Daphnia pulex: one gene and its partner. The main gene of each other region encodes a partner of the protein of the gene in region 2 in a complex. Links are inferred from orthologs where the notes say so. Each region holds a gene or a part of one and is shown on either strand. Other genes may lie near its edges. The genes, in order: serine/threonine-protein phosphatase 4 catalytic subunit and serine/threonine-protein phosphatase 4 regulatory subunit 1-like.

The links.
Region 1: serine/threonine-protein phosphatase 4 regulatory subunit 1-like (region 2) and serine/threonine-protein phosphatase 4 catalytic subunit share a complex: the UniProt entries of both Homo sapiens proteins name them as parts of the PP4 complex. The link is inferred for Daphnia pulex from reciprocal best matches to the Homo sapiens genes PPP4R1 and PPP4C.

Annotation. Positions count from the first base shown.
Region 1 is NC_060025.1:1,442,950-1,458,830, forward strand, and holds serine/threonine-protein phosphatase 4 catalytic subunit, read right to left. Parts: upstream 7,624-15,881; 5' UTR 7,533-7,623; intron 7,147-7,532; 5' UTR 6,876-7,146; intron 6,743-6,875; 5' UTR 6,725-6,742; coding exon 6,575-6,724; intron 6,515-6,574; coding exon 6,362-6,514; intron 6,300-6,361; coding exon 6,126-6,299; intron 6,062-6,125; coding exon 5,935-6,061; intron 5,867-5,934; coding exon 5,674-5,866; intron 5,610-5,673; coding exon 5,480-5,609; 3' UTR 4,880-5,479; downstream 1-4,879. Other genes in the region: globin D, coelomic-like, read left to right, coding at 1,344-1,421, 1,496-1,758, 1,822-2,038, 2,109-2,228; uncharacterized protein LOC124202229, read right to left, coding at 3,132-3,254, 3,334-3,547, 3,617-3,960, 4,027-4,104; probable chitinase 10, read right to left, coding at 7,860-8,734, 8,800-9,270, 9,340-9,981, 10,050-10,505, 10,567-10,672; uncharacterized protein LOC124202225, read right to left, coding at 11,266-11,370, 11,435-11,524, 11,594-12,175, 12,252-12,375, 12,448-12,864. UniProt on the Homo sapiens protein: Protein phosphatase that is involved in many processes such as microtubule organization at centrosomes, maturation of spliceosomal snRNPs, apoptosis, DNA repair, tumor necrosis factor (TNF)-alpha signaling, activation of c-Jun N-terminal kinase MAPK8, regulation of histone acetylation, DNA damage checkpoint signaling, NF-kappa-B activation and cell migration.
Region 2 is NC_060022.1:853,442-869,407, forward strand, and holds the start of serine/threonine-protein phosphatase 4 regulatory subunit 1-like, read left to right. Parts: upstream 1-7,176; 5' UTR 7,177-7,515; coding exon 7,516-7,522; intron 7,523-7,809; coding exon 7,810-7,884; intron 7,885-8,521; coding exon 8,522-8,627; intron 8,628-9,753; exon of another isoform or gene 9,754-10,586; intron 10,587-13,028; coding exon 13,029-13,141; intron 13,142-14,638; coding exon 14,639-14,787; intron 14,788-14,870; coding exon 14,871-15,017; intron 15,018-15,916; coding exon 15,917-15,966. Other genes in the region: GILT-like protein 1, read right to left, coding at 673-732; transcription factor 25-like, read right to left, coding at 2,102-2,206, 2,272-2,418, 4,386-4,464, 4,524-4,679, 4,771-4,826, 4,891-5,055, 5,116-5,200, 5,258-5,528 and 4 more. UniProt on the Homo sapiens protein: Regulatory subunit of serine/threonine-protein phosphatase 4. May play a role in regulation of cell division in renal glomeruli. The PPP4C-PPP4R1 PP4 complex may play a role in dephosphorylation and regulation of HDAC3.

The DNA of each region.
Region 1 (15,881 bases), on a different chromosome or scaffold from region 2:
GCTTGTCGTTTATTGTCGAACATCGTCGAATACACAGCTGAACATTTTACACGTGTCTGCTTGGGACAGACGATTAATTCGTTTTCAAATGGCGGGAACGTACGCAAGGTTGCAATAACGAGTTAAATCACCACAAAATTGAATATTTCAATATTCTCTCTCGTAACTACGTAAAATGACAGTACAAAAAATAACATGCCAGAATAAATAATGAGGCATTAAGGCGAAACCGAAATCACGTATGCGAGTCTCGAGTTCACAAAGTACGGCGATGGAATATTGCGTGAGTCGATAAATTGTTTTGTTTGTTCTACCCTTTTACCTGCTATTTGTCTCCGTCATTCCTTTTTGGAAATAGAACCGTAAATAGCCAGAAAACGTATAAACAACGCAGAAACCGCGGACAATCGGTACAACGGACGATTTATAACCAGGTCAGCTCAACGAGGATTTGTTTTTGTCCGAATCTTCTTTTTGCTTGGCACCTGCCGCGTTTCTATGCGGGTAATAGGATACTAGAGATAAATCATTCGCGGTTGTTGGAATCCATGTTACTTTCTGTTGATTATAGCAATCATTTTTAAAACAAAATGGAAACTGCGAATATGCTTTTCAAATGTACCGGGTCTTTTATCATCTTCTTGATGAAGACCATTGTGTAACCAAGACGATGAATGCGCAATTATACAAAAGAGGAAAATATAAAGGCGAGGGTTTCTCTTTACTGTTTTTAATAACAAATTTATTTGAAGAAAAAGTTAAGAAGATATCAGAGTCATGGTGATAATTATTAAGAAAACATGACCTGTTTCCATGAATTAATAAAAATTTATGTGGAAAACCAACTGATTACGATACACTTAATAATTTCGATTTAAAATAAATTATGTTGCATAACTGCCGATAATATGCGCAGTAAATTTGTGCAACGTGAAATACCGGATGCGCTCTAAAGCGATACCAAATTCCGCGTGATTTGACTTTTTTAGTGAAATTACTTTTAAAACATTTCTGCTTGGTTTTCAAAAACACGCGTATTGATTTCAAAACATAAAATTTTGGCCTCAATTTCAATTGGCCCGCCTTTGAAATGATGACACCATATTTTAAATTCCCTAAATAGATTCTAGTCACGAATTATTTATGAAGATGTTACATTTTTAGATTTCGGAAAATGTCGACTAAGGGAGAGCACACGTCCATCCTTTTGCTGATGTTACAAGCCGAGTGACTGTATAAAACGAGCGACTAACTCCATCAGGACATCGAGTAGATAATTGGCTACCTAACGGTTGATTTGCATAGTACAGTTTCCAAATATCTCCTAGACACTAATTTAAAAAATGAGTTGGTTAATTCTAGTTTTCTGCTCTATTCTATCTCTGTCAGCCGGACAGAGTCCTTTCAACGAAGGAATTGCGGTAAGTTTTCAGTTTTCAAATTTTATTAATTGAATTTGTGCAATCAACGCTCGTTCTTTTTATTTAAAAAAAAGGGCGGAATGGAATCCCGACACGGCGATTCAACGATGAGAGGCAGTGGCCCATTCGTAACGACTACTACCGTGACAACGATCCTCGACTTCAATCCCGCTGGAATGTCCAGGTCTATGCGTTCACCCTCTTCCACCAGTGAAAGGAGCTACTACTACGGCGATAAGAAATACGGAAGCTTTAGTCAAAAGGACGTCGATGTCATCGTCAACACTTGGAACACTCTGAAGAGACGTGGTGACTTCGCCCCCAAAGTTTTTATTAGGTAAAATTATTTTACGTTATATAATTCCAAAAATAATTTTGAATGAAATTTTACTCGTTGCAGATATTTCAAAGCGAAACCAGAGTCGCAGAAACTGTTTCCAGCCTTCGCCAATGTTCCCATTACGGAGCTACCCACCAATCACGAATTCCTGAATTCGGCCTATACCTGCATCACGAGTCTCAATTACCTCATTCCTTATTTGAAGTTCGATCACCCTGAAAGATGCCCTGCCTTCCCCAAACACTTGAAGGACAAGTACAACGCCGTCGACCTCAAGGTAATGGTGACGATCAAAATTAAAAAAATTTAAAATCGAAACTTATTTGGCAATAATTTGTTTACTTAAGAAACTGGGATCCATCTGGATGACAGCTATGCAAGAGGAGATGGGCAACGCCTTCACCAACGACGTGCGTGATGTCTGGAAGAAAGCCGTCATGGCCGTCATCGAATACGCCTCTAAATAAAATGACAATTAATGTGGTTAAAAAAGGATTTAATTCGACAATATTGCTAATATAGTGGAAATAGAAAATATTATGACATCAATAAAAAAGTAAATCAAAACTAATAATCTCGTATTGGCAAAGAAATCTAATTCAATTCTCACATATCGTCAGAAACTTTTCTGCGTAATTACAAATTTACAACCAGCAGAAGTTTTATAAGCCCTTCCATAAATAATAATAGCCACTCTACAGTTAAAGAGAAAGGTTATTGCTAGAATGGAAATTGTCCTGCTCAAATTGTTTTATCAATAATTTGAATCTGAGAATGTTTGCATTCCTAGCTGTCACACAATCCTCTACACTCAATTATTGGCATGCTTCACAACTAATCAAAAGATGCAATATTCCGAAAACTAACCCGTTACCAATAAACTTGATCAAATTACAATATCACGAAATTTTACGTAACCTGAGAAATGGCTGAAGAGACACTGACAAAAACAAAATCACGAACTGTGGTGAGACTCAATGTCAAATGATTAAACACAAACCGCAATCACGAGATTTTTGACAGCAATAGACGTTAGACAATGGCTGGGAAAAGCACACAACTGTTCAAGCTAACCTTCAAATTAAAGAGCGACCAGCCTTGACACGACTAGTCTCGCACGTGTCTGGATTGAAAGACAAAGGCCTTGAAATCCAACCAGCTGTTTTTCACATCCGCAAGTCGTGAAAATCAATTCAATGTAAAAATAAATGCGTAGCTATTTTGCGTGGAATATTGTATTGACTAAAAGCTTGGTTATAATATTACAAATAAAATAGATAAAACAGCTTGTACAGTAGCTGTGAAAAAGCGCCCCCTAAATAACACCCCGAAATGAAATACAATTAATCGTTTAACAAATATAAATTCGCTTATGGGGTTGAAGCGTAATCGGTAAAAGCGGACAAGGCCTTCTTCCAGACATCGCGGACTTCGTTGGAGTAAGCGTTGCCCATCTCTTCTTGCATGGCCGCCATCCAGATGGGTACGAACCTCTGTTTTTAAAAACAATAAAGATGTGCGTCAGAAAATAAACCGTAATTCTTGTTCAATTTTGTAAATTAAAACCCTTACCTTGAGATCAACGACGCTGTATTTATTCTTGAGATCGGTTAGGGCGGGGCATCGCTCCGGATGCTGGAATCTGAGATGAGGAAGGATGAATTCCAGACTGGACACACAAGAATAAGCAGCGTTCAGGAAATCGTGATTATTTGGCAAATCCGTAATGGACACGTTGGCGAATTCCGAGAAGAGCTTCTGAGCTTCGGGTTTGGCTTTGAAATATCTGCGCAATTGAATTGGTTAAGATTGATTTACGTAATTGATTTAAAATAATAATTAAAACAAAAAATACCTCATGAACACTTTGGGGGCGAAATCGCTGCGCTTCTTGAGAATATGCCAGCTATTCACAAGGACGCTGATATCGTTTTCGCTCAGGATATTCATTAATGGGCTAGTTCCGCTGCTTCCTTCCGGAAATTTATTCTTTTCACCTCCTCCGTAGCCGCCACTGTAAGGGTAAGAAGACCTCTCGCCGCTGCTTCCGCCGCTGCTCGGATTGCTGGACGAGTGGAAAGTTTTCGTCATTCCGGTGCTCAAGTCTAGAACTGTCGTCACGGTAGTTGTCGTTACAAACGGACCTCCGCTGCCGCTCATTCCTCCTCCACGATACAACGATCCGGAACCTATTCCACCCTTTTAAAACACAATAATTAACAATTAAATCTTTTGAAATAGTTGAAGAAAGAAAAAGAATTTTACCGAGAATCGATCGTTGTATGGACTCTGTCCGACGGCCAGAGAGAGAAGAGCACAGAGAGCCAAAATCAACCGTGTCATTTTCGGGAGATTGGAAAATTGTTCGACGCAAATCAGTCAAGATTTTACTCGGATGCCTTTAATGATTTAAAACTCGCCGTTTATATAGTCGGTTGTTAATGTTGACTTCAGCAAAATGGATCTGTTTAACTTGTGTCAACAATTTTACAAACCTAAAAATGGGCAATCTTTTTAAAAAAACAAAAATTGCTGGTCACCACTTCTATTTGTGAAATGCATCGATACTATGTTTGGGATGTTTTGCTTGCAGTTTTCTTTTTTAAAAAATAAAAATCCGAGCAATAAATAACTAAAACAAAAATTTAGGTCATCCGAGTGCGTTGATCGGCAAAAGATAACACCCATCCGGTACATACATGCCATTTCAATGCGGAAAATAAATCAAAGTCATCTAAAAATAGCGTCTCGAATTGCATCGCCAAAAGTTTCTTTTATGGACGAGCGTTTTCTGCTCAGTCATGCCAACTCGCTGCCATTTCAATCTCTAACCGAATCCAACAATCGATTGTTGTCAAATAGTACCATTAATTAACAAAAGGGAAAGTTGATTAAACGTGGATTACCTTGTGATAGTACGTAACCTTATCACAAAACCGCACACGGTAGTCGAATGTCACAACGATATTACCTTATCAGCTGATTCATCACGCAATGTTGTTTCGGGACAGCGGTGATAATAAAAACGATCGTAAAAATGAATAGCCGTTATGACTCAATGTTGAGAAAGTAAACATCGAGCCTTGTTTTCGAAACTAATGCAGGTACACTAAACATGTTTTCGTCTCAAGTCCATCGTTATTTCAAGAAATTGTATACAGTGCATGTTGAGAGCCATCGCAAGCATCACATTCATAATAATATAAATGGGTGCAACACAAACAAAAAAAAAAAGATTTTGGAAGCATGGCCATTGCATCAATATTTAGCACTGATGTTAAAAAATAATTACACACGTCACACAATTCGCCCCCAACATACCATAACCGCACGTACACAAAGATATTGTTCATTAAACTGAGTAGTGGGAGTAGCTTATAGTCAGATGTGATATCCTGCAGCAAAAAGTTGAAAAGGGAAACTGAACACTTGTTTGGACGATCAAGATATATTTTTATTATAAAGGACAAGACTGTGTTTACCAAAAAAAAGGAAGGGATTGGACAGAACAGAATTTTCAAAAACCTATTTGTTAGTCCGGGCGGTCAAGGTAAATGGTCAACCAACATGATACAGGCTCTTTTGCTCTGTTTCAACTGATGGGGTATCTCACATCAGTTACTGTTTTTTTTTTGTGTTTTTTGTTTTATGCATTACCGAATAATTATTTTTGTAAAAAATCGCAGGGGATATATCAACGATCAACATTTCGCGTTTCTTATAGGAAATAATCGGCTTGAGGTTTTTTGGAAGGAATGCCACGAGTCTCTTGAGGGGCAGCTTCAAAAATCGTGAATTCTCGATGGAGATTTTCGTCCAATTCCAAAATGGCAGCTACATTTCCACACCTATTGCAATATTAAAAGTTTAAGTAATCATCTTGGTGAAATCTGGCGGGAAATTAAGACAAACCTATAGCAGTAGTTGGGGGCAGACCACACCGTCAGCACCGTTTCGTTAAAATGCCATTTGTAGCCTTCCATGACAAGCTGGTGTGCTCTGCAAATCATTTCGATGTCATTTGAGGTGTTGAAATGTTGCACAACATCGGAGCCAAAAAGATAACCGGCACCGCGTGGACTCACTCCCCATCCTTGCTGTGTATCTGTCAAAAGCAAACACCCAGAAATGAATTACCACTTTCAGAAGTATAGCCAATATTTATTTTCCTACCTTCAGGATCAGACCAAAGGAGATCACACATAGGTCCATCGTGAGGAACTTCCTGCTTTCTGTCAATTATTCGGATTTGATCCAGTGTCTGAATTGAAGGAGATAGCCCACCATGCACACAGAATATCTAAAATTTGAAAAACATGTCATGTTAGAGTTTTTATCAATGCATGTTACTACTGGAAGCATACTTTGCCGTCAATGATGGCTGAAAGACTCAGGTAGTCGAAAATTTCAGTACAATAGCGCCACACAGTGACTGAACCATACTTTCTAAAACATTCGTCATAGAAACCATAAACCTGGGTAATTTGACGTGATTCATGGTTCCCTCTAATCAAAGTGATGCGATCTGGATAACGAACCTAAGAAAGAAATCTCAAATCAGAAACAAGAGAAAGAAATGCTTAACAAAAATGTATACTACCTTTAAAGCTAATAGGAGAAGAAAGGTCTCTACACTGTAAAATCCTCGATCAACAAAATCTCCCATGAATAGATAATTTGTGTCTGGAACATCCCCACCCACTTTAAAAAGTTCTTTTAAATCATAAAACTGGCCATGGATATCACCACAAACCTAAAGCAAGCAAAAAATGTTAGTTATTGAGCAATAATCAAAAGCTTATGAGAAACCTACTGTGACAGGAGAGTCAACACGCTGAACATTGCTTTCTTCAACCAGAATCTCCCGTGCTTTGGCACACAAGGCTTTGACTTCTGATTCTTTAATGATATCACACCGTCTGAGTTGTTCGATCTGTCGATCCAAATCACTAAAGTCTGACATATTTACGTTGTCTGTTTCCTAGTTGACGAGAGGGAAATAAAGAATAACGACCTTGAGTATGTGCAACAGCCGACCGGTGATGTCATACACATTGACTTGGTAAATGAGGAAACTGACATTACACAGAACGAGAATAAGATAAAAGCTTTACCTCTTTGCGTTATTAATGAAATATGAGTGGTGATGGCGAAGAATGAATTCGTGACTGGATAAGTTGACGATCGAGAGTTAAGCCACGAATTGAATCCGTCCTCGTCGTTCTTCAAAGCTATCCTTACTTCCTTGGCTTGCCTTACGTTGCCGGACAAAAAAACTGGGCTTCAATCTAAACGCCATTAAATTATTCGGCGTTGCCAAGTTTCTCCGCAGTTTTAATTTCAAGCGCGCTTTTTATTCCTTTTTGTTGAAATATCGATATTGTTCTGAAAATGATTTACAAATATCTGGTAATATTATTAGTAAGAAAAAAAATTTACAAATAAAGATAACATCGCTAGCACGCTAGTAAAAAAAATATTTCGATACATTATTTATCAATTTTGAAATATTCTCTGACGTCAGTCGGCCTTCAGCCCGATGTTTGCTACCAAAACATGGTCACGATGGGTTTCGTTTATTCAAACGGGACCTTAACTAACGCTGACATTCAATTGATATTTTATTTCTCAGAATTCCTTTGGATTAAAAAAAATCGATTGCTTGAGACGGGCATGTTCAGGCTGATTTCTCATTTCTGATTCAGTCAAAACACAGATCTTCTGACGGTCGTTTACTTGTTTGCAATAAAGACTTTCATAATACAACCAACCTTGATTCAAGCCTTGGAAATCTGGTCTTTACAATGTAGCCGTTAACCCATTACTTATTTAAACACTTCCTGTTTCGACACTTGACAATGCCACTCGGCACTCGCTCAATCGACATTGGAGTTGTCAAATTTCTAATTCATTTTTAACGCAATTTTGCAACAAAAAAATAAGAGTTCTCTTGGCTTACTCAATGAGTATATCAATTAACAACATTTAATTATCACTCGTGTGTATTGCGGGCCGAATCAATCAGATTTTGAATATATAGTAATAAGATTTAAAATATTAGAAATGATTAAAAATTGTTAAATTTGAATTCTAACGTCCTAGATAACTAAATTAATTAAAATAAACCCGAAAGCCAAAAATGTAAGTTGCTGACTATTGCCAGCAATTCGGTGCCCATTGTTTGGTATGAATGGCGTTTTCGAACTCGTAGCCTGTGTCGACTCCGTCGTGACTCTTGGCCAAGTGGACAGTTTGGTAGTGGATGGACGGGGTGTTGTTGGCGTTGTTGTCGTTGTCTCACCCGTAGTCGTCGAGGTGCTGGCTGTAGTAGTCTTGGTGGTCGCCGCCGGTGAAGTCGTCGTAGTCGATGTCGTCACCCCAACAGTTCGTGAAATGTTGGTCATAATAGGATTGGGTCCATCACCACAAGTGTTCCTAAAGTCGTCGGTACTCATGTCCCAAACCATGGCTCCGCCTAGTCCCCTCTCCAGAACGTAGCGACTTTTGACATTGGCCATGACGGGATCGTCGTAACCAACCCAAGTCTTTGGCACGCTCGGAGTGGAAGCGTATGGACCGATTTGGAATGTCGGATCGACCACCACCTCCCAATTTTCGTTTTTCACATAATTACAGATTTCGTTGTATCCTAACGTTCCCGATTCACCGGTTAAAGGTCCTGCAGCTCCAGGTCCCAAACCGGGTGCCGGAAGCGTGGGATCCTCCGTGTAAGTATAATCGAGTGTCCAGGACTTTCCGTATAGGGGAATTCCCAGCATGAGTTTTGAGGACGGCATACCGCTATCTTTCCAGTACTGGACGACAGCATCGATATTGTTGGTTTCATCTGTATCCCAATCTCTTTTATAGAGCGGGGCGTGATGGTCAGTTAAAGGTTCCCATGGCCCGTGCATATCATAAGCCATAATGTTGATGTAATCAGCTGTCGTGGCCAACACAGGTATGTCGTATCCTAACGTTGAAAAAATGTATTAAAAAAACCTTTTTATTTCATATACACTATTGATTAATACTGACCGAGGTCGCTAATGGTTTTATTGACTCCCACAGCGATAGTGAGTGAATATTTCGGTGTCTGTAAATTAAATGCGGCTCGAAGTTCCTTCATTAATTCAGCAAGCCCAACTTTGTCGGACGCACTACTCGGATATTCCCAATCGATGTCCAGTCCATCAAATTTATACTTGTCAAGAAATGCCAAGACTGAATCGACAAAAGTCCTTCGGTTAGTCGAGCTGGCCACCATGTCCGAATATTTGGTGGTTCCGTCGTGAGAATCTGTCCAGCCCCCAATCGCGATGGTTGTCTTCAATTTCGAGTTTTGTTTCTTGAGATCGACGAATTTTGAATAAAATTTATTTTCTCCTAAATCAATTTCAGGTTCAAATTCTTTGATCTTGTAAGTTTTCCCATCCAGGATTGCAAAAGCGTAGACCATGTCGGTGCAGAGTGTGGCATTTATGTCGTCTACTACATATTTGCCATCGCCTTATTTTAACAAAGAAATAATTTGATAAGATTATTAAAATAACGTCACACTAGTGAAGGCAAACATACCTGGACGATAGTAGGCCCAGTTTGGGAAATAGCAAATAAAGCGGGATCCGGCATTCATGACTTTGTCTGAAATAGTTGTCATCAGAGGATTGGCTCCACCACCGCATTTGTTGTGAAAATCGTCGGTACTGATATCCCAAACCATTGCTCCACCCAGTTGATTGTCGATGACGTATTGAGTCTTCTTGGCAGCCATTTTGGTGTCGTCGTAACTCACCCATGACTTTGGGTTACTCGCAGAGAAGGCATAGGGGCCGTTAAGGTACTCAGGATCATCAACAGTCTCCCAACCTTCAGCGTGGATGCTGTTACAGATTTCGTGATATCCTAGAAAACCAGGTGTTCCTGTAAGTGGACCAGCTGGTCCATCGCCTTTTGTCTTAGCAAGAAATTCCGGTTCGACACTTTCCCCAAGGATCCAACTTTTGCCGTATAGGGGAATTCCCAAGTTAATCTTGTTCGCAGGAAGTCCTTTGCTTATCCAGTGGTTGACGATGAAATCGATGTTGTTATCCACCGTTTCCCAGGATCTTCTGTAAAGTGGGGCGTGGTGATCTGTTTGAGGCTCCCATGGCCCATGCATGTCGTAAGCCATTACGTTAATGTAATCCGCTTTTTCGGCCATCACTGCCACATCGTAGCCTATTCATAAATTTGTGTTGTGTCAGTCTGAATGAAACAATCTGTTGGAAATTAAATTTAACTTATACCTAGGTCGATTATGGTCGAGTTTGCCGCTACAGCGACAGATATCAATTTAGTTCCCAAGGCAACGCGAAGTTCCTTCAGTAATTCAGCAAATCCTGCTTTGTCGGATTCACCACTCGGATATTCCCAATCGAGGTCCAGTCCATCAAATTTGTAAAGTTGAAGAAATGCCACGACCGAATCAACAAACATCTTTCGGTTAGCCGGGTTGGCCACCATATTCGAGTACTTGTTGGTTCCGTCGTGAGAATCGTTCCAGCCTCCAATAGCGATGGTTGTCTTCAGTTGAGAGTTGCGAGTTTTGAGTGCGACGAAACTGGCGTAGCCATTATTGCCGATGTCGCCCCACTCATCAGCGATTTTTATTTGGTACGTAGCTCCATCCAGGACGGCGAAAGAATACACCAAATCGGTACACAAAAATGGATCGATGTTGTCCACTCCAAACTTTCCGTCACCTGAAAAGCGTTTAAAGCAATCATGCCAATCAATGAATAGAATATGATGTAATTCAAATACCTCCTCGGGAATACGTCCAGTTAGGAAAGTAGCAAACGAAACGGGTTCCTACGACGGATGGAATTGCGCAGCAGGACAAAAGAGCCAGCGCCAAAACAATTTTCATCCTCACCAGTGACTTTGGGGCCTTTTATGATTTAGATTTTGTAAGTAATAGTAAGGAACTTGAGAAGTTACAAGAAAAGAATTCCTTTCGCTCTTTGCAACAATTCACTCGGTACTGCGTGTTGTTCAGTTGCAGCGAGACAGGTCAATTGAAGTAGCCATAAATGATAAGGATTGATCAACACCACGATAGTGGAGGGGAGGTGGGTGTTTAATACATTGTTTTCCGTCAGCCGTGATAATGTGACTCTTGACTCGCATGTTTAGGCGGATCTCACACCTGTACTCTATTCCTGAACGTTCCATCTAAGATGTCGCCATTATGCTTTATCTATGACAACCGAAGTTGACCACTGTTCGTTTTTTATTTTTAATCTCTCATCAAAGTTGAATTAATTCAAGAATTGCTTCACGGCTGAGGGGGAAATAAAGCCCAGCAAAAAAAAACATACGTCGATGAATACTGCGGTTACGTAACAACTGAAAAACAGACGATAACTAAAGGTCGTGATTTCATCAAGGTGAATTATAATCCCCTAAAACAAAAGGTACTACGTAAACATAAAAAAAAAAAAAACTCCCGTTTTTGTTGATTTAGGACGACTGAGAGGCATTACTGATGGGCGTCATGGCAACGGGATTATCCGCCGTACTGAATTGGCACAACACCACCAGATAGGTTAATGTGGTTCCTATCAACTGACGACGAACGCAAATGTCAGGAACTATTGACATCCAGTCAATCAACTAATCAATAACTCACCGAAATGATGATGTGTTTAGTCAAGGTAAACATCCCAAGGACTCCGAACGTGGGCGAAGTTTCAGACACCTCCAGTAGGAAGGTGTGCACCTTTACATAATAAAATGCACTTGTCCATTATTGTTAGTTAATTTTCATGGAGTGCGATGTAAATTTTACCTCTTGACTTTCGTCGTTGCAGCCCTGACGGGAATAAAGGTCGTTGCGAATGCTCTGCAGGACGGGAACGAGCGACAGGGCCTTGGAGCGGATCAGATCGGCCGTGTGACAAATCAGCCACAGCCGGAAGAGATGCTCAACAATCATGTAAGTCAATTTAATCGTTCTGGGGATGACGAAGTAAAGATCTTCACCGCCATCCGATCCTTGCGGCAAATTCTGGTAGGATTTCAGCAGGTTGTAGGACGCGTTGACAAAGCCGATGAACGTGTAGGAAACGGTGGCAAAGAGGACGAAGCCAAACGTGCTGCAGAATTTCTCGGCAGCTCGGCAGGCGATGCCAAATTGGCGTTGATAATTCCAGACGACAGCTGCATTGGTTGAAGGAGGACAGCAATTCAGTTCCAGCTGACTGCTAACTGTTTGAAACGCAATCGAAATAATGCGGCCGGCACTGATGAAAAGGGCGCACGATCCAAACGAGTAAAAGTAAACGACCGAAAGCAACGCCAACGCCATCCTGTTGGCCGGAGAAGCAAGCGATATTTCAATCGACAGGGATAAAATCAAGTTCAGCGATAACTTTAATGGAAAAATAAAAACAATAAAATTATTAGAAACATTTTCAAAAGTGTTAAAAAAAAGTGTCAAAACTCACTGCTACGAGGCAGCCGAAGATGCACTGGACGGAAGTCTTGCGGCAGCGAGCCGTGTCCTCGGGAGACAACGGAATGTGCAAGAGCATATCTTCTATTGCACGCCATAATTTAGCAGCCGACCATCTGTATTGGATTTGAAACCAAACGAACACATTTATAAACAGAAAATTAATGACGCACGAAACTGTAAATTACCTCGCCATGCACCAGGAGCCAATAAATACGGCCAAAATGTAGATCCAGTAATTGAGAAATTCGATCAAATAGTGCATAGTGGATTTGCTATTTTCCACGTCGGCAATCGTCCTGGTTAAAATGAAAGGGAAGTAGACCAGTAAACGAAATCCACACGTCCCCAATGTCAGCACCACCCAACCAATCTGGGCCGTTTGATGGAGAAAACGGCAATTAGTGTCCGACGGTTCGTGAAAATTGATACCGAAGCATCGGAAAAGCGTGAAAACGGGACCTAAAATTGTTTCCAAGTCATTAGTCTCGTAACCGAGGCTTGGATTAGCGGCCCAGGCCTCCTTGGACATCTTGTTCATTGCCATCCTCCTTGTCGAGTGCGACCAGGTCTTGTTCTCACGGCTATGCGAGGACTGGAGTCGCCTAAATCGAAAAGCATTTCATTAACTCGAGTGCAGGTTCAATCAATTATTATTCTATTATTCAATCATTATTCAATCAATTATTGAGGCTAGAAAAGTAAGGATGTGCTCGATTGGCAAAAAAGTAGGGAGGAACCTCGACACGTCAGTCAACATCATTTGTGATCTTTAGAAAGAAAGCACTTGCGTCCAAAGACTTTTCAATCAATCAATCAAATAGACGAGAAAGGATTTTCGATTCCCCACAAATGGTTTTCACACGACCAGTTCGCGTTTTGCACTTTTAAGACACTTTCCCGCGATGAGTCTACCTTTCCCCCACATCATTATGATTGTTATCGAGCGAAAATTGATGGGCGTGAAACCTCAAAGAGAATATTTGAATTTAATAGGGTAAAATGTGAAAGCACTATGTTCTACAACGCATCATCAAAATAGCCATTATCACAACCCTAATTTTTCTTTTACAATCATGCAATTAAAAATGCCATAATCCAGCTATAGGGAAAGTGTGCCAATAATACTTAGCAACATGTGTTGAAATTGCGAAAAAATGTGTATCATACAGAATAAAGTTTAAAGTAAAAATACACATACCTGAAAAATCTAATAAATCACATCATTCAAACTCTTTGGAGAACTTGGGGAGATAAACATATGCACTCTGGAATTCTAACATTGTAGAAATGTGGACTTTGATACTTCATTTTCTCCATTCCTGTAAATTGTAACATGTAAAACCAATCAAACTATTGATATAATGGTTGTGTTAGATAGGTTCATTACATACTGAACAAAGCCGTGTCATGCCGACATGTTATTGGAGACGTGACGGAGAAAACTAATTGGGGTTACTGTTTTGCATTTGAATTGGTGTCGGCACGTTTGCGGAAGTCGGTAAAATTCTTCCACTGCTGAGTAGTCTCTTAATCAAGCTGAAATCATTTTCTACAGTATAATTCGAACGACGAAACAAAATGCCCTGAATAAAAGAAAAATTGTCACAGCAATTACTAATGTCAACAAATCTGCTTTTAAATGTGTGGGCGTTGCCAAATAATTCAAAATTGTTTATTGCGTCGTTCAAATTTTTGTGCTGCGCTTTTTCACAGCGGTTGCGAACGCGAATGTAATTCGATTAATTATAACACGAAAAGAAATGTTGTTATTACAATGCAATCAAAGAATCAATAATACAATTTTTCTTTTCCTGTCTAATAACATTGTTTCCATGGAGACAAAAATGAAAAACAGATAATTGCGGGCGATTAAATTTATCTCCGTACATATGTGAAAAATGTTGCTTCGTCATTGAATTACATCGCGTTGTACCGGAGCCTAACAACGTAATACAGTGGGATTTTTTTTTAAACTTCTGTGTGGTAACTGATAATGATGTCGACTTCTGCAGAGAAGATGGGCCTTCAAAAGGTAAATGCCGCCATAAGCATCTTTAAAATCCAAATTAAAACGTCAAACTCTCTCCCAACTTTCGTTTCCGTCTACAAACAAACACACAAAATTCGTGACGGTAATAAACCTTCGTCGAGTGATCAACAGCCACTTCAGAAAGGAACTAAGGGTCCGAACATCTGGTTGTAGTGGGATTATCATTATAATGAGACGTAGTTATCGATTTCCCAGGGCTCTTCTATCGTTATTTAAATAAAAAGGCCTAACTAGATCGTTGAAAAATTACGTCCTGTCAGGTTTTTTCTTTTTTAATTTTAATTTCGGATCAAGAATTGAGCCAAACGAGATAACATTTATTTGAATACCTTGGCGGCTGGACCAGCCAGCCAGCCTGGGATAGATAGAACATTTTAAAAATACAGGTTTGGGTGGATAACGGGTCGATCCAACAAGATAGCATTCAAATACGTACATCAGTGCTGCACTTACGTAATCAACAGTAAATAACTGTATTTTCCTTATTATTCACGCTTCCTTGCCCCTCCCCACAGATAGGGCGATAAAGGTGTGACATTCAAATACTATCCAATTATCACGACATTCACGCGATCGAAAAATGAAAAAAAAAAAAAGGCGAACACGATACAAGTTTTCGAGCGTTCAAAATTCAGGGAATGCTACCGACATTAATCGCGTGTGGAAAACCTGATTCGAATGCAAATACCCGCGAGGTGGCGAGCGTGAATAAAAAGGGCAATAAAATCATCGCGTTCTTTTATAGATTTGAATTCGTTGATTGATCACACGTGTTAGTTGATGACCGACAGCGCTAATTGATCTCTCACGCAAACGGTTGCCCCCCACATAGACGCCAGTTATGCAAATGTTTTACCCGGTTTCACCGGAGACTGCACGATATTAGTTTCGAAATGATTAAGGCCATCCATAATCGCCACTTGCATCCGTCCACAAACCATTTCCATTTCATAAGTGAACCAACACCATCTAGTTAAATAATGAAGCAATAAAAACTTGACTGAAAGTCATTTCCGATTTGAATTGTTAATTTGACGGAAAGGAGATCATCAAGAGTGTGAAAAAATTGTGCAACCAGCTAAAACATAAAAATGAATGGCATATTATACCGAAAATGAAACAAAATTTTGGCGTTGAACCACCGCCCGTGTTCCATATTCTGTCCGCCCTCAAGGTGATGGAGGGTTTCACATCGTGTTCCGGCGAGAAATAAGAAAACACTTCTGCTATCACTCCCATAGCAATTCCATGGCAATCATAAACTACTCTTTTGTTGATAAGAAAAAAGCGTACGGCACGCCTCCATTTATCAAAAGAAAATGCAAATCATCCGCTTTCGTACCATAAGTGTTACAACGTCAATCGATACACAAGAGAAGGAGGATCTGATTCTCACACAATATGACTGTGATTGGACCGACTGGAAACCAACCCCGCCATCCTTTATGTAACGCTCAGGAGAGAGAAAGGTGAACATGAGCAGAAACTATACAGGAATTAATCTGTTATTGCCAGAACCAACAGTCTACATCAACTTTCTCCGCATATCGTGACCATTGATCATATTCC
Region 2 (15,966 bases):
ATAATAAGTCTAGGATTAGATTAAGCACAAAGTATGACGATGCTATTTTATTTTATCAACAAGCGTGGCATGCTGCTGGTTTCATCAGGGATGGAAATGACTTAATCCAGCATGGATAAAGGCATGATAAAGCATGTCAAGGATAAAATAAAGAGCATAAAACAATCACGTGAAAGGTGCGTTGGCCAGAGTCGATTGTAAATGTAGGCTAACACACTATGCTGGTATCCCCCCCCCCCTGCTGAACATTTTTCTTTCGATATTGTCACACATCATCGCTGTTCAGAAATAATAGTATATACTATAATTCTGGCTTAACGCCATATAAGCTTCATCAAAAAACGTTCTCGCTTGCTTAACCACGTGTGGGTTATATAAGCGACGAAATAAAAAAAGTGACAGTATCATCAGAGCTATACGACGCCCCATTGTTGGAAAAAAATGAGTCACCTCCATCACTTTCCACATGGGAAAAGAAGTTGACAATTTGGGCACACATGTACATATAAGACCGCGTCTTTGATTAACTCTGTATTTATTCATAAACTCTATGACGCCAATAAAGACAGGTGAGAGCATATAAAGATTGACGCCTGCATTGCTGTATAAAGAGTGGACCACACACGGATAGTTTCTATTAAATAAAAAGAATTCTTTTTGTAATATTATTACCTGAGGGGCTCCACCAACCACGCAGATCAAGGCGAACCCACATAGAATAAGCGATCGCATTTTCGGTGTTAGTTTGATGTGAATTTTTCTTAAAGAATCAGGATCGAATCAAAGTAACTGTTTTTTCAGCTCACCCTGCAAGGATCTGTGTGTTTTTGTAGTGATGATTTACAGTCAGGATGTAACCTCTGTATGCCTATATATAACATTTGATAAGGTGGAATTATTTGCTATCGCGATAGAGCGAGATGTCGTGTGCTCCATTAGACCTGCCCATGAAGCATAATGATATCATAATTGATGCTGGTGAACTTTCGTCTAGGAGATAGAAATCGGACCATTCAACTTGTTACGTAATTCGAAAGAGAAAGGGAAGTCTATCGTGAACAATAACATTTTCCCCTTCGTTGAACCTGTTATAAGAGAAATTGGTTTAATTCCTACGAACTCACAAAAACTTGTTCACTTGCAAAATGTACACACAGTTTCATTAAATGTGTGTCATTTAAGTATAGTTGCAATTCGCATACTTGCATTCCTATAGCAACAAAATATTAGCCAATAACGTAAAATTATATAACAATCAAATGTTTGCGGTAGAAAGCGTTATCACGTAGTTAGTAACAAAACCAGTCAGACAGTCTCAATTAAAACAGAGGAGAGAATTCCCAATTAGGGAGCAATTAAAACGACAGGGGAACATGTTCACTTTCTGACGTTCTTTTATAATTTTGGTTGTTGCCCTTATACTCGCCACTTGGCAAAGCTATCAGTACATTTTTTTTCGGTCTTCAATTATCGTACAGCGGCGAGACCTGATCAGAATATTCAAATTTATTTTAACGTAACATAAATTATTCACATTTTTTTTTTCATCCACGAAATCTATTTAGAATAGTTGCTCATTTTCCGTTGCGATGTTAGCGGTGTAACACGACGCCAGACTATTCATCTTCATAATGGGTTCATCTTTCATTTGATCCTGCATCATTTGAACCCGATGAACCTAAGCAGTCAAAAATCAGGTCCATTATATAGTCATAAATGTTTCTTTAATTTTTGGCTCATTGTGAAAACCTATTTGCATAATAATAGTATAAAATATTTCATAAAAACTTGCACAATGAAGGTCACCGTGTCGAAAACAGACCACCTTTCAAAGCAAAATGAATACCAATATAAAAATAATTCGGAAATCGGTGCTTTCTTTTAAGAGTTAACTTTCAAGTGAGTCTTGTATTTATAATGTAGGGCCTATCGAAAACAAATGTATTACAAAATGTTACATTTTGATACATTACTTCAGTACCCAGCATTGAAGTTAACTAAAATTTGGACGGAATAACAATATTCGAATAAATGGAATGTCGATTTTTATGCTTCACAATCCCCAACGGGGATGGGTTTGCTCATCATCTAGACGGATCACCTAGAGAACATTGGAAAGGCAAGACGGAGCGTTAAATCCGTTATGATTGCAAGCAACAGATCTTAGATTGGAAAGACTACTCCATTGCTTGCCATCATCAAACACCTGTAAAATACCCCCAAAATTAATAATCAGTTGGAAATATTATTAAAGTTAATAGTAATTTTCACCTTATCATAAACAACCCACGGGACAAAAGTGAGAGTAGGTTGCAGAGTTAAAGTTTCCGTTCCATGCGCCACAGCCAATTCTTGGCCCTCGCTAGTCTTCGTGCAGGTGTCAATCGGTGTAAAGTCCAAACCGGCTAATTCGGCGCACTATATGAAATGGAAATATTTATAAAATTTCTTCAATTTTCATTCGGAGAATCCCGTACTAACCTGAGCTCCAGAAGTTGGTGCTCTCATCAGACACGATGCGTAGTTCAGCGCCTTATTATTGAAATAGAATTTAGTTTCCCAAGCTTTTATGAAACCCACATGTACATTTCGAAAGAGATACCTGAGTGTTGTCTTTACTGTATTTGATACCGCAGGCGTGCAGGATATTTCCAGTGCACTCAGCCGAACCGTGTTGACACTTGAAGGACCATCCACCCGATGAGTTTTGGGAAAACTACAAACAATTGTCAAGTTCATTGTATAAACAGGCAATTTCTGATTGCAACAAAGAAATAATAATAACGGGACATAGGACATACGCTTGCTTTGCCAAAAGGGATCAGCCTGAGGTTGACGAAAGAGGAGAGACTTTTCCATTGCGGCGCCAACTGATTGACCAAGAAGGCCCGGCTGTCGGGACACAAGGACTCGTAGTAGACGTCCAGATTCGTTCGTCCACTATTTCCGAGCTATTAAATCATCAAAACATTATGAAGGCACAGTCACGACTCACGAGTAAGAAATTAAAATCCAAACTGTCAACTAGATAAATTGAGCTATGCGAGGATGGAATGGCAGAGAAAATCATTTTTAAAGTTTCAGCTGTGTGACAAAACAAAAAGAATAAAACCCAACAAATATTTGAGGTTCAGCCGGAATGCGACGTGCGAGATTGATGAAATTCTTCGAGCAAAATAGTTGCCTACTATACAATTTCTATCACTTCCCTGAAATTCTGGCGTCAAGGTAGTTTTCAATACCTCCGCATGATTTCCAGCGGGGATGGCGCAGTCTATTGACCTTGGGTCCATGAGCCTTGCCTCTCCCCGGAGCTTTTTTTTCTTTTTTTAATTATTTCTTTCCTCTTATGTTTTTCTTAGGTGTTGTTTTGTTTTTACAATTTTAAGGTTAAACGAGAAAAAGGGGCGTGCCAACTTGCAAGGAAAATATTACACAATTTTTTTACAACACTTAAAATAACAAATCTTATAAATTAAGAAAAACAAGAAAATTATTAAACAATGTTTTACTTTAAATATATGAGCCAATTAAAATTAAAAATCTGAAATTAATTGACAATAATTAATTGTTATGCAAAATGATTACCCCAGCAGTGTTGACAAAGCTGACGCACAGCAAGGCAGAGGCTAACAAAAACTTGAACATTTTGGCAACTCACAAGGTGAAGTCTACAAGAAAGTTGAATTCAAGCACCGTCTGCAAGCACGTCCACTCTCTCCCGGAACTTGCTGAGCAATGTCTGCATATTCGAGCGAGCCGAACGACCAAGGCTATACATGTTATCCACTCCTCGATTCCTATTCTTTTCGCCTCTCACTGATCAAACAGGTGTGCTGAAGTGAGAGTCGAGCTGGACGCCAGCTGTGAATGTTTTCACGCGTGCATTGTAAACGAAACAACGGATCTTTTTTTTTTCAAATAATACAAAATTGTCCCAACAAAAAAGACTATTCTTCGTTGAAGTTGGCGCCAATAAACTGAAACTAGAACAAATCCATTACGATATTCTGGACAAAATCGAGGTCGCCAATTTACAGCTAAAATGTGCTGTGCTCTATTTCCTGGTTGAAACGCCCGTTGGTATCAGAATTTTCAAGGCGTGGCACTTGAGCGCCAAAAAAGTGCTACCCAATTGAACTAAAATACCAAAATGGCCATTCTGATCTTATTTCATTGAAGGCAGACTTACAGAATAAGGAACAACAAATCGTGTTACTTCCACCCCAGTGTAAAATAAGAATAATGTAACAAAATTGTATAGTACAGACACACTGCCATCAGTCAGAGTGATCGTCTTCATCATCGTTTGAATCGTTGAAAGGAAGATCGGGAAGCTGAATGTTGCTCAGCAAGTCACGCATGGCCGCCACCAATGTGGCAACGCTCTGTTGAAGATTGGCTCCCGCTCCTTCGGCAGCAATCTCTTCATTTTCTTGCAAATCGACATTGGCACGAGGAGGTCTGCAACAATTAAACATGTTGAAATAATTTTAAAAAATCAAATAAAATACAAGGCATACCTTCCAGGTTGTCGCTGAACGGCTTGTTGATTATTAACAACTTCCTGCGGATTAAAACCGGGTAAGAGTGACCGGAAGAACGAACTGATCAAACCTCCTTCCAACTGGCTGGCGGCTGTGGCATTATTGGTTCGAGTTGGTCGACTGTAGCTCGAGCTACAGTAATTTTATATAAATTTTATAAATTTATTTAATTTAATAATAATAATTTAATAATTAATAATTTCTATTTTTTACTATTACTTACACCGATTCTACAGGCGGTAGAGGATCAAAAGACATGACTGAACCAGCTGCCAGTTCCTGGATGTTTAAACAAGAAATAAATAAGAACGCTTCTTATTTAGAAAAGTATTTTGAGTTGAACCTGGGGTAGCGTGGCGGTAGCATCTTTGATATCTGACAGGAGAATATGTCGGTAGATATTTCTTGGCGTTCCTTGGTAGCGCGTTTTACGCTTTTCCTCGTATTCTAGGGCAATCGAAGGCTGGCGATCAACCTCATTTAAACAGCTGTTGGCGTTTCGTTCCAACTATAATTTTAGAGTTGGTTGTTAATACAAATTGATTTATGGCAACACATTGTTAAATACCCAAGGAAGGAGTTCAGCATCTTTCCAAAGGTGAAATGAGCGTCCGATGTACAGTTGAATTAAATTGTTCAACGACGGCGAATGACTACGCATGCAAGCAATTAATACTTGAACGCGAAATATTTTAAACTTGGTTACGTACCTGAAAGGTGTTTTGGGTGAAAAGTACTCGTGTCTGACTACTCTAACGTCAGCTTGAATGGAGCACTTATCTAACAAAGGAATTAATACTCCTGGGAACATTAGCAGGGCCTGTTTAAGGTATTCGTCTGCAAGTGGAAGGCTTTTGGGGTCAGTTTTTGAATGGTAGAAGTGGGCCAAAGCAATAGCGAAAGCCATATTAGGCAGTTGGGACAAATTTTTCTTGGATTCAAAGAATCCAAAAAATTCAATGAACCAAGAATATTCACTGGCTTGAAATAAAGACGTCAAATTAAACGAACGATTCTTTTTACATTAAAAAAAATTAAAAAAATGCGTAATACCTTTGATGGCGTAAAAGTCTATCATCAGAATAACTGCCAAGGGATCGGAATCCAAATCCAATGTATAAAGAAGTTTACAAAATTCCAAAGCAGTTCGGTAACATCCTCGCAAACCGATGGAAACCAAATGTTTGAATATGGCCAAAAATAATGCCCTTGAAGTAAACCAAATATGTGATTGAAGTGTAGGACAAAAGTCTGAAATAATTATACCTGTTTTCCTGTTGCTTATATTCGAGGCGACAATTTCCGGATGCCAAATTGAATGAAGGATGAAAAGCACTTTCAAGAATGTATAAGGCTCGCTCGATGAGTTCTCCTGCCATTTGCGGGTCTTCACTCATTCTGCAGATATCAGACAGCTGGATCAGCGAGTCTATATGGTATGGATACATATTCACAAGTGCAACAATATTTGTGGGATTCAATGAGCTGACAGCCTCCCAGAAATCGTACTGTATTTGACGATACTCTTTGTTGTGCTCATATTTGAAATAGAAACAACCATCCTTTGTTTGATCCAAACTCATTGAAAGTCCTAATATAAAACATGAATTCAACATCATATTAAAATTCATAAAAGATCTTTTAACTTCACAACACAAACCTGTTTTTCTTATTTGGGACCAATTGTCTTTGGAATTGATTAGCCATGTTGACTTTACATAAGCCCTCCCCCTGGCTTTCTTCTTTTGTGCTGAAACCACCACTCTGCTGCCAAAGATTTTCTTCAGCTCATTGTCAGAATTAAGATTTTTTTGTTCTAAACTGAGGACATTTTTAGCAGCAACTTGTTTGGAAACTGGCGTCTCATGGCCATTTGAAGGTGCAATATTAACTAGAAATTCATTGTCCAAATCATCAGCATCATCATCAAGCTGTGCACTTTGCTTCTTCTTCTTCTTGGTCTTTTTCTTAGGTTTGGTTCCTGTTTGAACTATGTGTGATGTGTCTTCTTCCGATTCATCAGGAGTGGGTGGTTCTTCGACACTTTCCTTGTCTGAGTCGTCACCTTCATGCAACTAGGAGAGTAAACAGGATGAATTTTGAATCACATTTACATGACACGATTATTTTATATACCAAATCAAACATATTGATGGCGGGTTTCTTCTTTCGATTTCCATTGACATTTCTTATGACAGGCGCATCATCAAGCTCCTCTTCTTCTAGTTGTAGGCTTGATGCCAATGTTGATAACTCATCCTTTTCTCCATGAATTTTGCGAAGCTGTCTATTTGACATGATCTGTATTTAATAAATTGCAAATCAGAAAAACAAGATATCGCTCCCGATATAGTAATCGTTTGGACAGTGTGTATTTTGGGTTGTGGGCCCACGTAATCGTCTGCATGAAACAAACCATCTAGCGGTCAAAAAAGCACTTAATTATTTTTGGAATTTTGGTAAAGTAGTTTTCGTGACTTTTCGATGCACTATTTGATTTTGGAATCAATTTAAAATGATTTTATGGTTGTGTGGTATTTATTGAAATGATTTTGATACACTTTTGGTCAATATTTCGTAATGGATGATTGCTACCCATAGTGTGCTGCCACCTGGCGCTTTTCACATTCGAAAAACGCTCAGTCAAACGCTTTCTGTCAAACGTGTAAAACCCTAGAAATTTGCCCATCGTGCTGAATGAAAATTCTTGTGTGCTTGATGTTTCGTTTTATCAAAAATGATTTCATCCGACCTTGGTGATAATGACTCAGTTATTGGTAACCGTTTGAACTGATTGGAAAAAGAAACGATTCTCCCACAAAACTTGGCTCAACTGAATTGTGCATTTATTTTATGTGCTTGGGAAAAAAGGGCATTGAGAGAAAAAAAAAGGAGGCAGCAAACGTAGTAAACGGCGCCTATCGGCAAAAGACTGAAGCTCGTTTCAGTCTGTACTGGTGCTCCCATCATGGCGGGTTAGTTGGCTGTTTCAGACTGTCAAATTTCATTTTTTTCCCTCATCTAGTTTGCTAGTTGTTAGTCATTCTCATGTTTAACCTAACTAGTACCATTGATATTGTCTGATTTGTAAGTAAAAGGCTGTACTTGTTGACTTTGCAATGGCTGCTCTCGTGGTACCATGTAGTCTAGGCGATTACGGACGTGTAGTAGAGTAGAGAGAGATTGTGTGTTGCTCAAAGTGTTTGGTTGGCGTGGTGTGTGCTGAAAGCGTGTTGATTTTGATCTTATTTATCATTGTCAGATGATCCACCTTCGTCCTCGCCACCGGAGGAAGATGAAGAAGAAGATGAAGACTCGAAATCATCGCAGCAACAAGGTAATAAACCCGAAATTCTTGTCGTTTTATTCCAGCCCGAAAAATTCCTCAGTCGGCGGTGGCATGTGGTTCGTCGATTTTCGCGTTACTGGCGCGACTTCTTTCTCTTGACAACAGTCAACAGCAGCAGCAGTTGAAGAGAAAAACGGCATGCCTGTTTTTTCACGGTTCAAGTGGCTTTTTTCCCTCTCATTTTTGTGTAAAAATCTTATCTTGAATGGAGTAGAGGGAGAAGAAAAAGAGGGTAACAGGAACCTTGTTAGTAGGGGGGGTTATTGGCGCCAAAAAAGAAAATGCCAGGCCTGGGCCGCATTGTGTTACACACAGCGCCATCATTTTCATTCTGGGAACAAACATTCCTCTCTCTCTCCCAAAAAGATTTTTCCTTTTTGTTTTTTTTTCTCCTTTTAAAAATTCTTGACGTCGTTAAAAAAAAAAGTCGTTGGAATGTTTTTCCGACCGATTTCTCTCTCCCCCCCAACACTTAACGTTATTTGGAAACTGTTGTGTGGTATTTTCTTATTTAAAAAAAACCAAGTAATGAAGTTTTCAGTCTTTTTTTAAAATGTATGCGGAATGTTGCCAAAATCTGCAACTTTTATTTTTTTGGCTAATAAAACTTAAAATTTTTCTTCAGATGATGAAGGCGATTCTTCTGAAGAGGAAAGGAGTTCCAGCGGTCGTGAATCGGTTTCAATCACGGAGATGGAAGCCTGTCTGGAGAACGGCAACGCTTTCAACAGGTCAGTTCAAGAAACATGTCCTATTATTCTGTACAAAAAGCTTAAGGCTAAGTCATCTAGAGATTCCACTTTTAACTAGTTTTCCGGCTCAAAAGAAATGAATAGCTTTTTCGAGATGGATTAAAAAATCTGTCACTTTAATGAATAATGGCACCTGCTCCGAGTAAAAACCCTCCTTTTTAGTAATCATTTAGTATAAGAAGCATATCTCTCACATTCCGATTGAAATCTGTTTGAACACGTCCATATTGGGTTTGTATGGCGTGATAGATTACACGACCGATAGCCCAACGAATTCTGGTAAATCTGATAGTGAAATCATGACTTTTAATTAATAACGGTCCGAAACACCTGCCGTTGAGCATCATCCACCTGGTATTATTATTAAATTCATGTTTTGACATTCAACGCTGTATGGACAACACTGGGACAAATGACCTAATGAAGGTGGTGGTGGAGGCCTGCTGTTGGTTGCGTGCGCAGTTACACGACGCCTTAATAGTGCGTTACTACTCGCTTTTTTACTCCAATGTTGACGGTGCAGCCTTTCCCTCGAGCTCTACTTCTCCCATAGAATAAAAACTGCGTCATTTGCTCGTGTACATTTTTTGGCGGGAAAGTCGATCGATGGAGATAATTCGATTTTTTAGTCCCTCCACTCGAGCATGTTGTGTGTTGTGCACCGTATCATTTTCTTTTATGGTTTCATTTTATTTTGGTGGTGGTCGTTGGTAGGCCAGTGGATATAGTTACATCGGCCAAAAAATTTTGAAATTATTTCGGCGCGCTCGAATTATGACGCACGCCCTTGGCCTCAATTTTTATATTTTTTGGTTGAGCCTCTCTACGTCGTCGTCGGTTGTTCAGGTCAATCCTTTTTATTTTCTCTCGCCAACAATTTCCACGAGATGGTGCGCCGATCGAAAGCAAGACCGGAAGTGAAACTTGGAAGAAGAAGAAGAATGTTGGCGCCAAAAAAGTGAAAAAGGAAAATTGAGAAGAGGAAAAACGGCCGATAGGGACGCCATTCAAAAATGTTTAGGGGGTGAAAAAAGCGCCCGAGGCATAGTGATGTAAGCGCCTCTCGGTGGCCGTTTGGTGAACGAATCCCCCCTCTCCACCACCACCCTCTTTTAAGGCGATGGAATGGCCGCTGTTTGTGCACCAATCGCCATGGGGCGATTTTTTTCTAGTCTGCAACGTGATTGGCCACCTCGTCTCCCACCCTATGTGGGCGGAGTCTGGTCTGAAAACGCACCCCTAGAAAACCTTAGATACGTACGCACACACGGGCAGAACACGTTCTCCTGCTCCCACCCCACACTCTCCACTCTTTTTCCGTCTTCGTTCACTCGCGTGTGTGTGTGTGTGTTGGCTCGGCGTGTTGTATTCAACCCCCCTGGCGGTCACTACGTCGTAGTACATTTCGGCTATCGTCGTCCGTGTGTGTGTGTATGTGTGTATGTGGTTGGAGACGTTTTGAACTGCAGACAAAAACAGCCGAAATTCTTGTGCCCGCGCGCACAGAGTCCTTTTTTTTCGTTTCTGACTATTCGTTCAACAACTTTTAACAGACTTGATTGGAGTGTGTTTGTTTCCTGTGACGCCATCGAAGAATTACTAGCCGAAAAAAGTGATGGACGCTATGGCAGGGAGACGCACATTGGGGGTGAAACAAAACTTTGGACGAGGGGGGAGTTCAAGACCGGAAGCGCGTCCCTCCCTCCCTCCCTCGTGTGTGTGTACGTGTGGTGAGGAGTAGCCATCTGCTCCTCTTTTTCTTTTTACACACACACACACACACGTTCAGCTGCCATGTTGGTTTCATTCGTCGTAGGCCTTTGGGGTACGTCGTCGTCCAAGTAGTCGGAGCACCACCCACCAGCCCTCCCGATGGCGCTACTTGATTGACTACTAACCCCCCTCCAGCCGACGCGTCTCCCGACCTTTTTAATGATGGTAAGAGTTGATGTTTTCTCTCTCTCCTTCCCCATGCTGGCGTTTGTTTTGACGATGAGTCAGGCCTCCTCCTCCCTTTAAATATATTTTCCGGTGGCGTCGTGTGTGTGACGTCATCCTGTGAATGGTATTGATTTATACCCTGCCTCCTCCTCGCAACAGCGACAAAATTTCCTTGGCCTTGCGCAATGGCGTCCTCACGTGATGAGACTCGCGTGTGTGTTGACATTGCCGACGCCGATCTAAATCGCACGTCAATGAGGAAACGTACTCGGAAAAAAGTTTCTTTCCCCCGTACAAGGCGTTGGGACGGAGAAATTCCTTTTCTCTCTCTACATGCCCGCCTCTTTGCCCACAGGGTTCATGTTTGACTGCATTCCTCAACCAACCCAACCAGCCAGCCTCCCTCTTTCTAGTTGGCTTGGCCGAGATACCACCGATTGATCCGTCCCCTCCATATAAAAATAAATAAATACTTGACCTAATCGTCTTTGGAAACCCCAGCAAAAATATTTTAAAAGTTCTCAGGTGTCGCTTCTTCCGGTTTCCGTTGTGTGTGTAACGCGAGTCGACAGGAACAAGTTTTTTCGGTGCGTCTTTTTGGAGAGAAAAAAGAAAATGGCGCGCGCGCCTCAAGGTGCAAGACCGGAAGTCGAGGATATTCCACGGGTTTCTCTTCTCTGGTTAAAAAGAAAAAGGGTCACATATATTTTTCAATCGGTTTTTTGGTTAAAATAAATAAAAAAAATTTCGTTGTGGCAGCAGCAGCCATCTTGAGGTCGCAAGAATGCTTATCTCCTCCGTCTTATATATATATTTTTATGTATGCGAGGAGAGAGAGGAAGCTGTTAGCCATGGGCGCATTCCTGTGAACCGAGGGGGGAGAGATGAGCCGAGCAGCTGGAAGGGCCAAATTCTCTTCCGTTGGGTTTGGTGGTGGTGGTAGGCTTACCCCTAAAGCTCTACTCTGCCATTGGCTTTGCCACTATTCTCTTACCCGTCGTCGTCTTTCTCCGATTTCAGCATCTTTTTCCCCGTTTCTCCTACAACCCTGACCATCACTACAAGAAAATCTTAGGCAATCTTGTTACCTGACGATAATGATAATTTACTTATCTCGGCGACACAAAATGGGGTCCAGGGCTTCCCACGGGTTTTCGGTTTCTTTCCAGTCATAAAACAAAATGGTCGCCCCCCTCCTCTTCAGTTTTTTGGGAAAAATCAAAAGGGAAATGGCGGACTGGCTACCACCACCTAAACGATGGAATTAATCAACTTGATTGAGAGTAATGACTGTAATTTCAGCATTTTTCGGATGGTTCGATCGGAAAGCATCAATTAAATAATTTCAATTCCCATTGACAGAATTTTCAAAAACATGGTTGTGTGTGTGTGTAGGGTGGGGAACGCGTCGCCGCCATTTTGTCGAGCCGTGAAAAACGCGTACAAAATGGCCGCCGACTCCATTTCCCAAGTTTATACGGCGTGCCGTTCTTCAGAAATTTGACGATTATTTTCAACTGTCGAGCGCTAAAATAATGAATTTCTTTTCAATATCGACGTTGTCATCTGGATGCGGGTTGTTGTTTTTTTTCTTCTTCTCCCGAAACCATCTGGCGATCCCGGGGAAAATGCTCTGGCTGGGGTTAAGGACGATCCATCACCTCTTCTTTCAGCAACAAACAACATGGTGGAAATTTGAAAAAGAGAATTGGGGTGAGAGAGGGGGAGAAAAAGAAAGAAGAGGATTCGTCGTCGAATGATGGGAGGGTGAGAGTGGGGCCCTTGGGGTAAATATAGAGAAGAGGGGGAACTCACCCTCCGCTTCTTCCCTATTTCGCCCCAAGGCTTCTGCGGAAAAATCAATACTTTGACCTCCTCCCCTCTCTACTACGTTCTCCCCCCCTGTCTGTTTGTGCAGCGGCCATAGGTAAAAACTTGAAAAAGTTGTTGGGTTCATCAACAAAAATATATATAATACTACTACTACTACCAAGGTAGTAGTAGTTTAAGCGCATAGGAGTTGATCCAATAGAAAACCGAGTAGGTAAACCTATTAGCTCAAATAACCATCCGTCGTTTTGGACTTTACCAATCGATATCAGTCGAAATAATTTGGTTGCACGTTCAATTGTTGTAGGAATAGTGTTCATTTGTTGAAAATAATTTCGAATCGAAAATGTTTGGCCTATTGGGTGAAATAGCCACCTGAAACGGTTTTGCGCGCCTTTTAATCCTCTGAAAATGCATAGGCCGCCACCTGGTGTGGGGTTTTGAAACCACTCGGTGCAACCCACCCCGATCGGCCAATAGAAATCGAGCCAAATTACAAATAGAACGGAGAAATAAAATGTCTTCTTCTTCTTAAAATAAAAAGAAGAAATCAGAGAAATGACTCAATAATAATTCCTTGTCTTGATTTCTATATTTATAACAACACAGGGAGCTGGTGGCGCGTGTGATTTTAGAAACGCTGCGTTCGATTCCCGTTCCCGATGTTCATCACGACCTACGCCGAGTGTTGGCCATCATCTCACGCCTGGGCGAAGATTCAGGTATGACTGTGGGGACGACGACGAAAATGTCTGTGTGTGTGTGTGTCGCCCAAAATAATCATCATTATCATAACAACAATGCGGGGTCGCGATTGGTTCTGGACGGAGACAAGAAGAGGCTCCCGCTGATGGATGGGTTCCAGAGTGTAGTTAGCATTTCTCTTCCGTCGTTTCAGGCGCGCACGCGTTTCGTGTCAAATCTCCTCCTCGGCCAGTTCTTTTTTCGAACGACCAAGTGACTGTGTGGTGGAGGGAGACTATTCTTATTTATAGAAAAAAACATCAGGCTAAAGGAGCGCGCGCTCTAGGAGAGATGGATTGGGTAACTGTGTGCTGCTGCTGCTGCTCGACTATTCCGGAATTGGATGCCCTTTGCCAAGATGTTTGGCGGGAGGAGGAGGAGCTTTGGTCCAGTTTGTGGGTTTCCTTCCTCATTGGTCCAATTCGTTTTTCTCTCTTTTTTTTCCGGGCAGCCACAAGAGTTGATTAGACTCTCCGGAATACAGGAGCAAGGAGCAGCAGCAACAGCAGTTGTCGCATCGAGAGAAGAAGACGGATGCGCTTCACTGATGCTAATTAAAAAATACCCGAGATTGGGAAGAAGAAGAAGAAGAGGGGGTGGGGTGAAATAACTTTGAGCTCTCCTACCTAAACCTTATAGATAGATAGTGGCATGCCACCACCACTAGTACACATTTCTTTTCTTGTGTGTGTGTGTGTGTGTGTGTGTCCCGGAATAAAATTAGTGGGCAAGGATCGTAGAGTGTTTTAGTATCGCTTCCGCGCTCAGTTGCGTCACACCTACACAAAAACTCTCGTCTCCTTCCTTCCTTCCACTCGGGAGCGCGGACGGCGGCTCCTTCCGCACTCGACAGTTCCGGTCTACCCCAAATGTCGATTCGAGGTTTGATGTGTTGTTGTTGTTGTTGTTGTTGTGTCATTTTTGGTCGGGTTGGAGGGGGGAGAAAATCGATTTATGCTCCAGTTGTAGTCGTAGTGCGTAAGGAGCCATGTGGCCGGGTTGAAACGACGTTGTAGTACAGCTGGCCGGCCCTCTTGCGGTCCAGACCAAGTCTCGAGGTATCTCCTGCAAGTTGCAGCAGCCGGGATTGTGTGTGTCGTTTGCAAGTAGAGATGCGATTGGTCTGGGGAGTGTCGCGCGTGCGGCACTGTTGTTTGAGCTTCGCACGTGCGCTCCAACCCTCCTTCTTCTTCTTCTCCCCTCTTGCGACGTTCATCCATCAACGAGTCTGCCAATGAGTTGCGTCTCCCATGTTCTCATTATCTCGGCTTCTTGAAGCCACCCTCCTACTCCTAATGTCTACCCAAGCGGAAAAGGGTTACGTCTTTGACGTGACCCCCCGGTCGTCGTACTACTCGTAAAAAAGGAAAAATTTCCCCTGCGATGAGCGGAAGTTCGTTAACGTTGATGAGTGTCGAGAAAAACAGAAAATGGAGGGAAAATGTGTGGCTCAAACTGAGATTTTACTTTTGCAGAGCCTTCAGTTCGGGCTGAGCTGATGGAGCAGGTGCCCCACGTGGCCATGTATTGCCACGAAGAGAAAGATGAACACCAATGGATGCACTTGGTCCCTTCGTTTTTACTTCCTTTGGTCGTCCGCTACCTCACCGACGTCAACAATCAGGTTGGGTTTTATTCATTTTGCCTATTTTATTTTTATTTATTTATTCATCGATTGGGTTTATTTTTAATTCACGAATGGAATAGGTTCGTAAAACAGCTCAGGCCGCCCTTTTGGTGCTTCTGGAACAAGAACTTGTGGCTCACAACGACGTCGAAGATCAAGTCTGTCCACTTTTGCTCATGTTGACCAATTCGGACGCTCACGATGATTTCCGAACAGAAGCCGCAGCTGTAAGTGTTCCATCTCTTGTCCTTTAATTCAATTTTGGGGGGTTCTATGTATAAAATGTGCGTGAAAGGCATCGGCCTGAAAGACATGGGTAGTGAGATGTTGGCCTGGTAGTTCCTCACCTCTCACTACTTTGTCGTTCATGTCGTGCACTTTTCCAAATCTTCGCTCATTTTACAATCGCCGTTTCGACCGATTTCGGGCCGTCAGAGTCGACTGGGAAATGCTATCGATACGATGAAGTTTCCGCGCGAAATTTCAAAAGTCATATCACAGCCAGCTTTGACGAGCCGGATATCGAGTCTCATTCATCTTTCGTCTAAATCAACACGGGGAAATAATAATAATTTAATACGAAAAAAAAAAAAGACATTTGACGCAATTGCGCCGCTCGTCGGAAAGGCTGTGGTGTGTTGCCATTTTACAATTTCATATCACAGCCATTCTAGATGCGCGGAGCTGCCGGAAGACGCAGAGAAATTATTATTTGAGCATCGAGTTTGGTTTTCGCTACTACGTGCCGCTCGCAAAGTGGCTGTCATGTGTCCCAATTTCAAGTTCAGCGTTTCATATCACAGCCAGCTTTGATGAGCGGGACGTTTTGTGGCCTTCCTCGGAAAATCCGGTAAATCATCGAGCGGAAGTGTTGTGTAACTCTTGTTGATTATGTCACTGTTTTTCCAAGGGTGTCGTGTGTATTAGCTTGTCAGAGTGGTTGCGATGTGCGTCATGTTGTACTCGTATCACAGCCAGCTTTGATGAGCGCTACGCTCGACTTGTTGCATCAGGAAAATGTTGATTTTAACATGTCACATTGGGGGTTTTTGTCTTTTTAAAATAAAAATATAAAGCTCGCCATGTATTATGCTAACTCGGCTGATGTTTGTTTGACACCCCAAAGTTGATGTGTCGGATGGCACCGCTGCTGGGCGGTGACCTGTCGCGCCGTGT